2 linked regions of the Drosophila melanogaster genome follow. The protein of the gene in region 1 interacts with the protein of each later gene in a pairwise test. Each region holds a gene or a part of one and is shown on either strand. Other genes may lie near its edges.

Evidence for each region.
Region 2: the proteins of Membrin (region 1) and Sdc interact in a two-hybrid assay, tested with the Drosophila melanogaster proteins (one large-scale study listed by BioGRID).

What each region holds. Positions count from the first base shown.
Region 1 is NT_037436.4:5,363,525-5,368,350, reverse strand, and holds Membrin (membrin), read right to left. Parts: upstream 1,897-4,826; 5' UTR 1,753-1,896; coding exon 1,616-1,752; intron 1,547-1,615; coding exon 1,033-1,546; 3' UTR 970-1,032; downstream 1-969. Other genes in the region: Pfdn4 (prefoldin 4), read left to right, coding at 407-451, 577-948; Uev1A (Ubiquitin-conjugating enzyme variant 1A), read left to right, coding at 2,195-2,222, 3,266-3,408, 4,142-4,267, 4,336-4,476. UniProt on the Drosophila melanogaster protein: Involved in transport of proteins from the cis/medial-Golgi to the trans-Golgi network.
Region 2 is NT_033778.4:21,477,266-21,483,749, reverse strand, and holds the start of Sdc (syndecan), read left to right. Parts: upstream 1-2,573; 5' UTR 2,574-2,736; intron 2,737-3,371; exon of another isoform or gene 3,372-3,393; 5' UTR 3,394-3,566; coding exon 3,567-3,659; intron 3,660-6,484. Other genes in the region: Sara (smad anchor for receptor activation), read right to left, coding at 1-557, 707-1,525. UniProt on the Drosophila melanogaster protein: Cell surface proteoglycan that bears heparan sulfate. Required for axonal and myotube guidance, is a necessary component of slit/robo signaling and is required in the slit target cells.

The sequences.
Region 1 (4,826 bases):
TTTTTACACAGGATATGTACATTTTAAATGTACTCCACTGTAAGATTACACAAAATCATTTTTTTTACACGTTACTTACACTGTTAAGTGACAAAATTAAAGGTAGCAAATATCTAAATTATTAACCCTACTTATTAAATATTTTATATATTTTATATTCAACATAGTCATAAAAAATTAAACATAACTATTTAAATAAATATAAGTGCTGAAGATATAACAATAAATTGCTAAAGCGGAATCACTTCTGTAAAATAGCCTAACGCCTCGTTCTCTCTGTTAACTGCTCTCCGTTTGTCAACACTAAAATGTTAAACAAATAAAATTTTTTGCGAAGCACCGAAAACAGCAACTGTTTGTAAAATATCATAAATTATTTATTAAATTAATTAAAACCAACGGGAAAATGGCAGCAAAAGTAGCGAGCGGCACGAACAAAGTGTTCCAGAACGTGAGTATGGGTGAATCATCAAAGGACAGCTGACTAAGATGAAAAGTAACCTCACTTTGTCATGGTTTTTTCTGTGCATCTGCTCAATTGAAATTTATGATATATATTTTAAATCGCATTTTCAGCACGATGACGTGCACATCTCCTTCGAGGATCAGCAGCGGATCAACCGCTTTGCGAAGCACAACGCCCGCATGGATGACTTCAAAGCGGAGCTGGAAACGAAGCGCAATGAGCTGAAGAGCTTGGAGGAGGCGCTGGAGGAGATTGAGCTGTTCGACGAGGACGAGGACATACCGTTCCTGGTTGGCGAGGTGTTCCTCTCGCACAAGCTGGAGAAAACACAGGACATGCTGAAGGAGACCAAGGAGCAGGTGCTCAAGGAGATCGCCGGCGTGGAGGCCAAGGCGAAGGTTATCAAGGCGGAAATGGACGAGCTGAAGGCTCATCTGTACCAGCGGTTCGGCAGCAATATCTCACTGGAGGCCGAGGATTAATCCACAATTGATCAATTGTTAATTTAACATTTTACAAAATAGAGTACATTTAATTTAAACTCAACTAAACGCGATGTCTTCAGATTAGAGCACTAGGAAATAGATGATCAGGGCGATGATAAGCAAGGTGACCACCACTCCTCCGATGAATATCCGACGATCCTCGACCAGCCGGCGTTCAATAAGTTTCATCGTGTGATTGGACAGACCCAGTGTGCTGCCTATCGCCTGGATTCTCTTGTGCGCTCCGCCCAGCGTCATTCTCTGCGAGATCAGGCTCTCGAGAATGCCGCTGCCCGAGGCAATCATGTCGTCCACACCCCGATGGGCGTTACCCAGCTGCGTATGATGCTGCAGTTCGTAGTCCAATTGCAGGCGCGTTTCCTCCGGCTGCGCGCTGTTTGCCGTGAATCTGTGATTCAGCAGCTGTTCCCTCTCGGAGATCTCCTGCATCCGTCGCTGTCTTCGTTCCCGCGCCGTCTGCAGTGATGTCTGCAGGTGTCTCAGGTCATATTTCAGCTGATCCACACGAAGTTTGGAGCTTTGTCGCTGCGAAGGTGGCACCTTATACAACAGCACATCCAACCGATCGCAGTTTCTAAACACAAAAGATTTATTTAATAATACAAACTCCTCTTGGGATAATATATATCATTGTAGAACTCACGCGTTCGCCTGGGTAATCTTCAATTGAATGCCGTTTTCCACGTCAAGCGATTCCTGGGCACTGAGCTGACTCAGTCGCTGGAAATCGCGCTCGATGTCCTTTACCACATTGTTGGTTTGGTGGTACAAGCTCTCCATGTCGTTACACCTATTGATTCCGCATTAATTTATGGGCCCGAGAATATTCGCAAATTAATATTTAATCGGTTGCAATTGGTTTGTTTTTAAAAAAGCTGACGCGTTAACATTGGACAGAGTGTCATGTTAGTTAACAGCACTGATAGCAGAGCAGCTGGCTGCCGTTTTTGGTATGACCATATATTATGACAAACTTATCAGCTAATGCAACTATTAAATTTCCTTTTTATTTTCAGAGAATATGCTATATATTGTTAAATAATGATTTTTAATTAGTGACCAAATATTGCACTTGACGGCGCTGTTAAGTGTTACCACTGTTAACGGTGTAAAAATCAGAGTTGTTAAGCAAGCCAAGCAAAACCTAAACCGCACTGGTCACATCGCACTGGAAACGCGTTAGCACACTTTTACGGTATTTTAGCACTTAGCATTAACCACAATGGCGAATACATCAAGTACCGGCGTTGGTAAGAAATAAAATTGATAAATTAGCAATTTGGCAGCTTAAAAATGCGATCCCCGCACGCCCGGAGTTGTTGGCCATCCGTTTTCTGCATTTCCCGCTGACCGGCGGCGATTTTTCCGCCGCTACGGACCCGACAAGCGGACCGCAATGTGATTGTGTGTGTGGTGCAAAACGGGCAAAAAGAAGACGAAAGCAAGGGCGAAAGACGAAAGCCGATAAAAGCGAAATGGGCGAATGGAAATTTATTTTCGCCAGCGGACCACGCTGCTCTTGCAATTTTCCTTGGCCGCGTTTGGCGTTGGAAAAACTCCGTTGCAATTGGGCTTCGTGACTTGACATTTTCCGAAATATCATCCCCGCTCCTTCCTCACTATGTGGCTCTCGCTCGCTCGCTCGCGCACGCTCTTCTTCTTGCCTTCATACTTAAAGTTTTTTCTTTATTTTCCTTATTTTTTGCACACTTGCGTTTTTGCAAGCTGCCTTGTCTTTTCTAATTAAATTAGCTGCCATTTACATTTGCCTGGATTGTTTTTGCAAATGCAGAAATTATGCTTTCGCCCCGCCCCCGCCGACACACCCTCCCCCCGCGCCCATCGTGCTTAATATCTGCGCTTCGCATTTTTTTTTTTTGACTTGTGTTCTCTGCACGAAAATGCGTACAAAGTCACACGGCCGAAAACAAAAACAACACGAGAAGCAGAGCGCAAAACAACAACAACACGTACCCATATGACCCCACACTGAGAGGAAAAGTCGCCGAAATATCACCGAAAATGGTTTATACCATAGAAAATGTGTAGAACAGTCCTTACTAGTTTGTTTCTAAATAGATAAAACTGTCGTTTATAATTATATATATGTATCTTATCTGTACGAGCCCGTGATTATAATTATTTAGAAAGCTAAGTACTTTCTTGCCCCGCCAACCAGAAAATTAAAAACAAGCTGACATTTAACTTAATGACTATATTTAAAGATTTAAGTTTTTCAGTGAAAATGCATTATGTCATCGAGTTCTCACCTCTTTGCCGTTTCACATTGCAGTGGTGCCACGGAATTTCCGCTTACTGGAGGAGCTGGATCAGGGCCAGAAGGGCGTGGGCGATGGCACCATATCGTGGGGCCTGGAGAACGACGACGACATGACGCTCACCTACTGGATCGGCATGATCATCGGTCCGCCTAGAGTAAGTTTCCATATCGATTGGACTTTCCTCGCTACGTCACCAGATAAGCCCGGTTTATTAGGCAATTCTGTAGGATTATTGACATCTTATCGCTTAGATTGCGCAGACCATTCAGTTTGGATAGCACCTTGTATCTTTGAAGGCAGTTTATCTCTTCAGTGCGATGGAATTTGATAATATTTGCATTTCATTAGCACCGCTGATGCAACTCATTGTGAGTGTGGGTTTCAAAAGTCATTGGCTTCATTAGCTTCTTATGTGGTAAATATGAATATAAAATGTACCTCTGCTAGATTTTAATCTTATATGAAAACTACAAGCTGCAATCTGGGATTATTGCTAGAAAATATAGGTATAGAAACGCTCGTGCTAATTTATTCTTATTTTATTCACAAGAAAATATTCCACTTTACATGCATTTATTGGGGAAAACAAGGCTCTAGCCTTGAATTACTAGCAAGGAAAGCGGCGGAAAACTAAATTTGCATTTAATTTTTGTATAGTCTAGAAGTGTTGCGCGCGCCGCCGCATGAATCATTGAGGAGTTTGGGTGGCAGGGTCTTCTAACAGAGCCCCAACTTGGTTTAGTTGCATTGGCAACTAAAGTGGAGAAGCGGTGGACTAAGGGGAATGGGAGCGCCTGACTCATCGACACTCTGGCCGCAAGTGCACAGAGTATTGAATCATTCAAGAATCATTTAAAGCTAATGGCAAACTCTTGTGTTTATTACAGACACCATTCGAGAATCGAATGTATTCACTAAAGATCGAGTGCGGCGAACGCTATCCGGATGAGCCACCAACGCTCCGGTTTATAACTAAAGTAAACATTAACTGCATTAATCAGAACAATGGCGTGGTAAGTGCAAGCAATCGAATGTGGCATATAAACAACGACGAATGCTAATATATTTGAATTTGCAACAGGTTGATCATAGATCAGTTCAGATGTTGGCCAGATGGAGTCGCGAGTACAATATAAAAACGATGCTGCAGGAAATCCGTAGGATTATGACCATGAAAGAGAACCTGAAGCTGGCACAGCCGCCAGAAGGTAGCTGTTTTTAGTCGACAACATCCGTTAGCAACACCAGCAGCAGCTGCAACAGCATCGAATGCAACGCGAGCGGGAGCAGCATCCACACCCAGTAAGAGCCGGAAAACGAACCACCATCATCAGTCCAAAAGTCCAAGACCAAGGTGGCCACACGTGCGTGGAATTAAAAAGAGATTGTGTGGCGGCTGCTCCGCCGAGTTGCCATCGGTGGCAGCGTATGCTTATTAATGAACGTAATAAAGATCGAGTGCGGTTATTGTGGCAAGAACAACAACCAAATGCAAGCTATATACTATAAGTAAAGGGAACAGCAGCGAAAAATGCGATAGGAGCGTCACTATGAAGAGGTCGTCGTCGTCCC
Region 2 (6,484 bases), on another chromosome or scaffold:
TTTAGGGTTTGTGGTCGCTGGGGGCGCTGCTCTTGGGTTTCCAGGGCATCCGTTGCCAGGCTGGCATCTTCATGCTCTCGATCGACCTCCACTTCGCCATCTAGTTTCCTGCCCGAAAGGGAATCCGATTCCGTGCTGCTGAAACTGGAGGCTACATCTTCTCCCATCGCGGTAACTGGTGTGGACTCCGGCTGCTTCAGATCAGCAAACTCCACAGTGGAGGCCTGCGAAAAGTTGTCCACGTTCATCTGATCGTTCGAGGTTGTCTCCTGCTCATCGGATAGAATCCGCACCGACTCCTCCTCGGTCACTGGCGAGGCGGAGCAGGATTTCTCATCGTCGGGCATTTGCTGATCGTCCGCCTGGTTGTCATCTGCATCCATCTCTTGCAGCATGCTGTCCAGTTCGGTGTCCGAGATCTCGTCCATGGTGGAGCAGAAGGTCAACGGTTGACTACGCCTGGGATGCTGCTCCTGTGGCAGCTCCACATCCTCTTCTTCCGTTTGTACTGGCTGCTCCATCTCTTTAGGGACCGGTACTTCCGCAACAGATGCTGGCTGAAAATGTAACACCATTATTAATAAACTATACTATATGTCAAGATAGTTTATAACCTTAATTGATTTATGAAGCTGATAATATTTTTAAACTAATGCGCTACACTTATTAGTCATTTACACAAACAAAGTAAGGTAATAGTACTTACTAAATTGGCCAATGGGACATCTATGCCGTTGGTCATTTCGGTTTCGGGTTCTCTACTGGGCGACGATTCCTCCGAGAGCTCCTCGAGGACCTGCCCGAGAACAGACGATGCGGTGACCTCCTCCGGCAATAGGGATTGCGATTCTGTGCCGGACGCAGTGATGGAGATGGATGACAATCCAACTGCTAACTCCTCTACAGTTTGTTTGGATTGCGTTGGCGGTGGAACAGCCTGATCTTGGTGCTGGTCCTCATGCTTGACCTGTTCCGGCTGTTGATCCTGTTCCTTTGGCTCCACCTGAACTTCACTCGTTTTCTCATCTTCGGGGGGCGTTGCTAGCTCCTCCGAGTGACTGCCATTGCTCACGGGCGACGGACCCGACGAGAAGGTGGAACAGGATGAGGTGGTCAGCGATTCGGAGGACGATACTATCGTCTGGCCGTTATTTTTGGACGCCTGTTCGCTGAACTTGTGGATGTCGTCTTCGTGTTCCGCCTCCGTTTGCCAGTCGTAGCTGGGTAATTGGGCATCCACCTGCAAGGACTTCACATTTTCCCTGTAGTCATCCAGGCTGTTGAAAACCTGAGAGACGCCCACAAAGGACTTTCCAGACGCCGGTGTTGGTGTTACTCCCGCAGCTCCCGATACTCCGGCGCCAGCTCCAACTCCACTGATCGATGCACTTGCTCCGTCGCCCAGAAAACGGCCAGGATTTGCACCTGCAGCTGCTGCTGCCGCTGCATTTCTACTCAGCTGCTCATCGGCGGCAATGCTCAGTTCCAGATTGTCCAAAACCTGATCAATGTCCACCAAGTCCATGGCCACCAAATCCGCAGAAACCTTAAATAAAATTGAACCAACCAGGTTTATCTGCTTGCATTTTCACAAAAACGCAAAAGAGAAAAAACAACACAAAAAGATGTGGAGAAAAAACGGTCTTGTGATTCATACCTTTTTCACACCTCGAATATAGTCATAACAAGGCAATGAGGAAAACAAGGACGTATTCGCCTTTAATAAGCAATATTAAGCACCTGCAATCACCTTATTTACTTTGTTTTCTTCTCGCTAATTTATTAACAAAAACTCGGTGACGAAAAACATTGTAAGAAACTGCCTAAAAATAGCCATGGAAACAGTGTTGCAAAGACAAAAAAAATTAAGTCAAATTAGCACCTTTCTCATTTAGTATTTTATGATGCTATCTCGTTCTATCTTTCTCTATAATCTGTTACTGTTACAATGTTAACATAAACCGTAACACCTTTTCAAATTTGAAAATAATAATAGGTAAAAGCTGTCGGGTCCTACACGAATATGAATGCTTCAATTGTTCAATATTAATGCGTATGAATTCAAACAAATCTATTAACATTGGGTCTGGGAAATTTTAGCCGCCAGTCTGTGTTTTTAAAAAAATGTTGGGTTGTACAACTGAACTAACAGTATCACAGAATAACAGTGAACGTACGAGCAACCGAAACAGTGTAAATCAGTGTAACCGCAGCTTAGCTCAAGAAAAATACTATAAGCATTTAAATATGAAATCTTGCCGATTTAAATGAATTCAAAATGTTAATTATATTTGATTGAATTATTATTTGCCTATCAAACATTTAATAATTCTATAATAATATCTTAAGCAAATCATGTAAACAAACAGTAACATAAGAATAAAACCAAAAAAATTCAAGATGTTAAAGTAACATTTTTAATCGCGAAATTGTAACAGAAATATATAAATTTTAAATGAGTACGCGTTTCGGAGTGTCTATTTAAGTCATCACCCAGCTAAGCATAAGAATTGGTATTTTTTAGGAAATGCACAGCTTGGATAATTGAGTCGTTTCTGCATCTGGTAACATTGGCCAAGTCATTCGAAAAAATTTTACGGAGCGAAGAAGGCACGGTTACGTCCGGATTTTAGCGCGATTTCGTGTCTGTTGTTTGGTCGGCACTCGAGTGTAAAGAAATTTGTACATCCCCGAAAAGAATCGCGAGTGCAATTTTGTAAATACGGAGAGGAAAAGGTGCGCAAAATAGCAAAAATAAATGCAACGAAAATAAACGCAGCAAAACAACGGGCAGAAAGATACGAAAAGAAGAGGCAGGCGAAGCAGAGGAGAAAAGAGACACATAAAGAAGCCGCCATAGCGGCGTTAGTGGGAAAGAGAGGGCGCGAGAGGAGACGGAGAGCGAATACGAATGCGTATGGTGTAGTTGTAGTGGTGGGCGGTCGTGTTTTTTTTCGTTGAAAAATCTCTGGATTCAAAGGGAAAAACAGAAAAACAAAAGGAAAATACAGTGTATTATACGAAAAATTTGTTAAATTTTATGTTTTTAAAATTATAAATTACAAAAATCGAATTCGATTAAAACACCCACACACACACCAATACACACAGTAGTTGCGCTGTTGTCTCCTCTTTATTTTTGTGTTTTTCTCTCTGCGTAAACGTTTTGTTTATTACCCCCGCTCTTCTACTTCCTTTCTTTGATTTTAGCCGCGCGCGCATACGATAAATTGTTGTTAATTTTACAGTGTGTAATGCTTAATTAATACCCTGTCTCTCCAACCAACGCTATCTCTTTTGTTTTGCAATTCGATTGATAACACATCGGGAATAGTGTGTGTCTGGAAAATAAATAATCATAATAATCATAGTTTCATGTGTGTATTTAAACAGCGTTCTTCTAGTGTGAAACCAGTTTAAAAAGCTGCAAGAAATATATATAGCTCAATATATATATTTATATATGTGTGCCGCCGCCAGTTCTAATCTTTAAATCAATAAACAAAACTGGAAGCCATTAGCTGAAATCACAACAACAGCAACCGCAGAAGAAACCAACGGGGAAAATGAAGCCAAAGCAGAAGATTTCCGTAGAGCCGCTATTGCTAGTCGCAATTCTCATCGGAGTTCTGGTAGCCGCCACCCACGCTCAAGATCAGGTAAGATCTCAAAAATTACACCCGAAACTACCAAATGTTATTAGTTTACGTTGAGATAAGCCAAAATCAATGGCCAACTTCAAGTTTACCTGGCCAACCGAAATTTAGCCGACTTTGTGATAATATTAATGTGGCTTTAATGGCCATTGAATGCTTATTCATATTAATACGTCACACAGCTTGATTAATTACGAATGGGTCATTATTAGACATTGCTATCCTTTTGTAACGACATACACATGCCCACCAGTTTGGGCACAAAGTGGAGCATTTAAGTGGCCCCTTTCAAAAGCATAGTTGCGTAAGCCCATTGCTGCTTGTAACTGCTTACCAATTAAATCGAGGCAGATTCAATCAGCAATCCGAACTCCCAATTTTCGCCACCTTGAGAGGGTTCGGAACTCCAAGTTCGGTTCGATTTCTTGTTCACTTCAGTTGTTTTTGCGGTTTGCGGTTGTCCAATGCTGTTTCTGTTGTTCTTGTTGTTCTTGTTGTTGCACTTATCATGCAAAATTCGGCAGCCCCAAGGTGGATACATGTGTCATATACCCATGTACCATGTGGCAGAGGCTTGACGGGCAACGGGCATGGGCATGGTCAATCTCCAAGGCATTGCACTGAATGCAATTTGTGGCTGCAGATAATGAAGAGGAAAGGCCTCCATGTCCCGATGAATGTAAGCCGTAAGCTTCTGGCTCCATTGCTCCACTCCTTGGCTTCTTGTAGAAAAGACATTAAAAACGTCTGCATTGCGAACGCATAAATATGGCAGTGAACTAGACGCACAGACATCGGCACTGTGCAATATATATATATAGATAGTTATACATAGATATAGATATCGATATAGAGGACGAGGCGGCTGCTGGTCAAATAAGGCTGCAAATCCGAAATGGTCATCGACTCCAACGCATCGCATCCAGCCATCCATCGATGTTGTCGACTGTTACCCATTAGCGATGAGAGATGAGTGCCGCCACAGAAACAGATATGCCGCCACGTTCATATGGGGAATGCTACTCGGAGATATAGAGATGATTCAATTTCCGACGAATTCCTTTCTATTCGTCTCTCGTGCTTTCTTTAATCACCTGCTCTGCCCAATGAGATCATTTGGTGTCTGAATGTGCTGTTTTGAAAATTGTTTACAGATTCGAAACTGGCCTCTTTGGTGTTTTCCACTCATCACACAGTATTTTTGTCATTAATTGAGTAGTTTAATTTAGATTTACCGATTGTAAACTCTGCTTTTAAAGGGTGTTAACTTAGCAAAACCGGTTAAATTAATGGGCAAGTTGTGTAAATTGCTTAAAACAATTGCCAAGTTGACATTTATGTATTAGTGAAGGCAAAAGTTGGATTTAAACTGCATAATTTCACTTAAATTCTAAAAACTAATTTGAAGACTTGAGTTGGATTACTTATCAGCTTTTCTTGTTATCTAGCGCAATTACTCACATTAAGATTTATTGGCTGATAATAAAACCAGCTAATGAATCAGGCCGCAAGCCCAAAGGGCAATATTAATGTCTCCTTCTTATCTTCACCAAGTATTTTATGTAATTTAGCACATTTATTACATTCCGTGCTTTCTTGTTAGTTAATTATCCGAAATTAGAAGTTCTATTGAGATACGGTAAAAATTTAACAGCCAGTTTTCTTCATTTTCCGCAAAGAGTTTACAGTTGCATTTTCCACAGCTCATCACTGGAAAGCACTTCTTGATTTGGGCCTGGGTTCTGGGCCAGTTTTTGATACAACTTCTGCTACTGGTCACGATGATCTTTGGCATCGTCTGTTGCCAACAAAAGCATCCGGCTATTGCCAATTTCGATGGCTGTGTTTGCCTCTTTCACTGCCTGTTTGTTTGTTTGTTTGTTCGCTTGCCTGTTGGTTTGTTTGCCTTTATTGGTGTGTGACTTATTGGCCCGAAAAATTTCTACACACACTACTTGCACATAAATAGTGCGATGGCCTTTTACCCCTTCGCAAACGCCCGCCCGCCCCTCTCACCCATCTAAAGCAGTCTGTAATCTTGTTTTTGCCGTTCCTTCCATCTTGTGTCCTGTTTTTGGTGTTTGTCACTTGTTTTTGCCAAAATTGGCATTCGTGGTTATGCCCCCCTCCTCGGCTCCTTCGTAGCTCCTTTCCCTGTCGTCGAAAACATTTTGAGAACGTGCCCGGAAAATTGATGAGCAGCACGGCGAGAGATGGCTATAACTTCACCGGAAAGAGGGTGCAAGTTTAATGGTTGTGACTGCTGCAAGTGCCACACTATCTATTTTCCGTTGCTAGCTGTTGCCTCATTTACAAAGTTGGCATAAATCCATTATCTATGGCCATATCCTAATGTCCCTTAATACGAGCGTAAAAACATTTTAATTTTTTTTTTTTAAACATTTTAATATAACAATTAGGATATAAAGGTAGTAGCATTTTTTTGAATGTAACTGTAATTAAGTGTGGAAGTTAGTAAGGGATAACACTCGGTTGCATCCTCTCACCTCAAAGGTGTGGAAACCCAATGTACCACGCCTCCTTTTGCATTGCTCCCTCCCGTTTTCCGCATCCCTACCAACTGCCTGCTGTTTGTGTTTATTTTCCTTTCTTGGAATACCGATTCACATTGCCAGACGGCGACAGACAGCGATAAGGTTCTGCCGATATTGGGTTTTCCATTCGATCGATTCTGTGGATCTGGCTACCTAAACAACAAACACTTCCTTGAACTGGGTAATCAAATTCCGATTTTTGTCCGCTGTAGATGGTGAAGGAAATTTGAATAAAAGATTTTTTTAAGGTTTTATTTGAGTTGCAGATTTGAT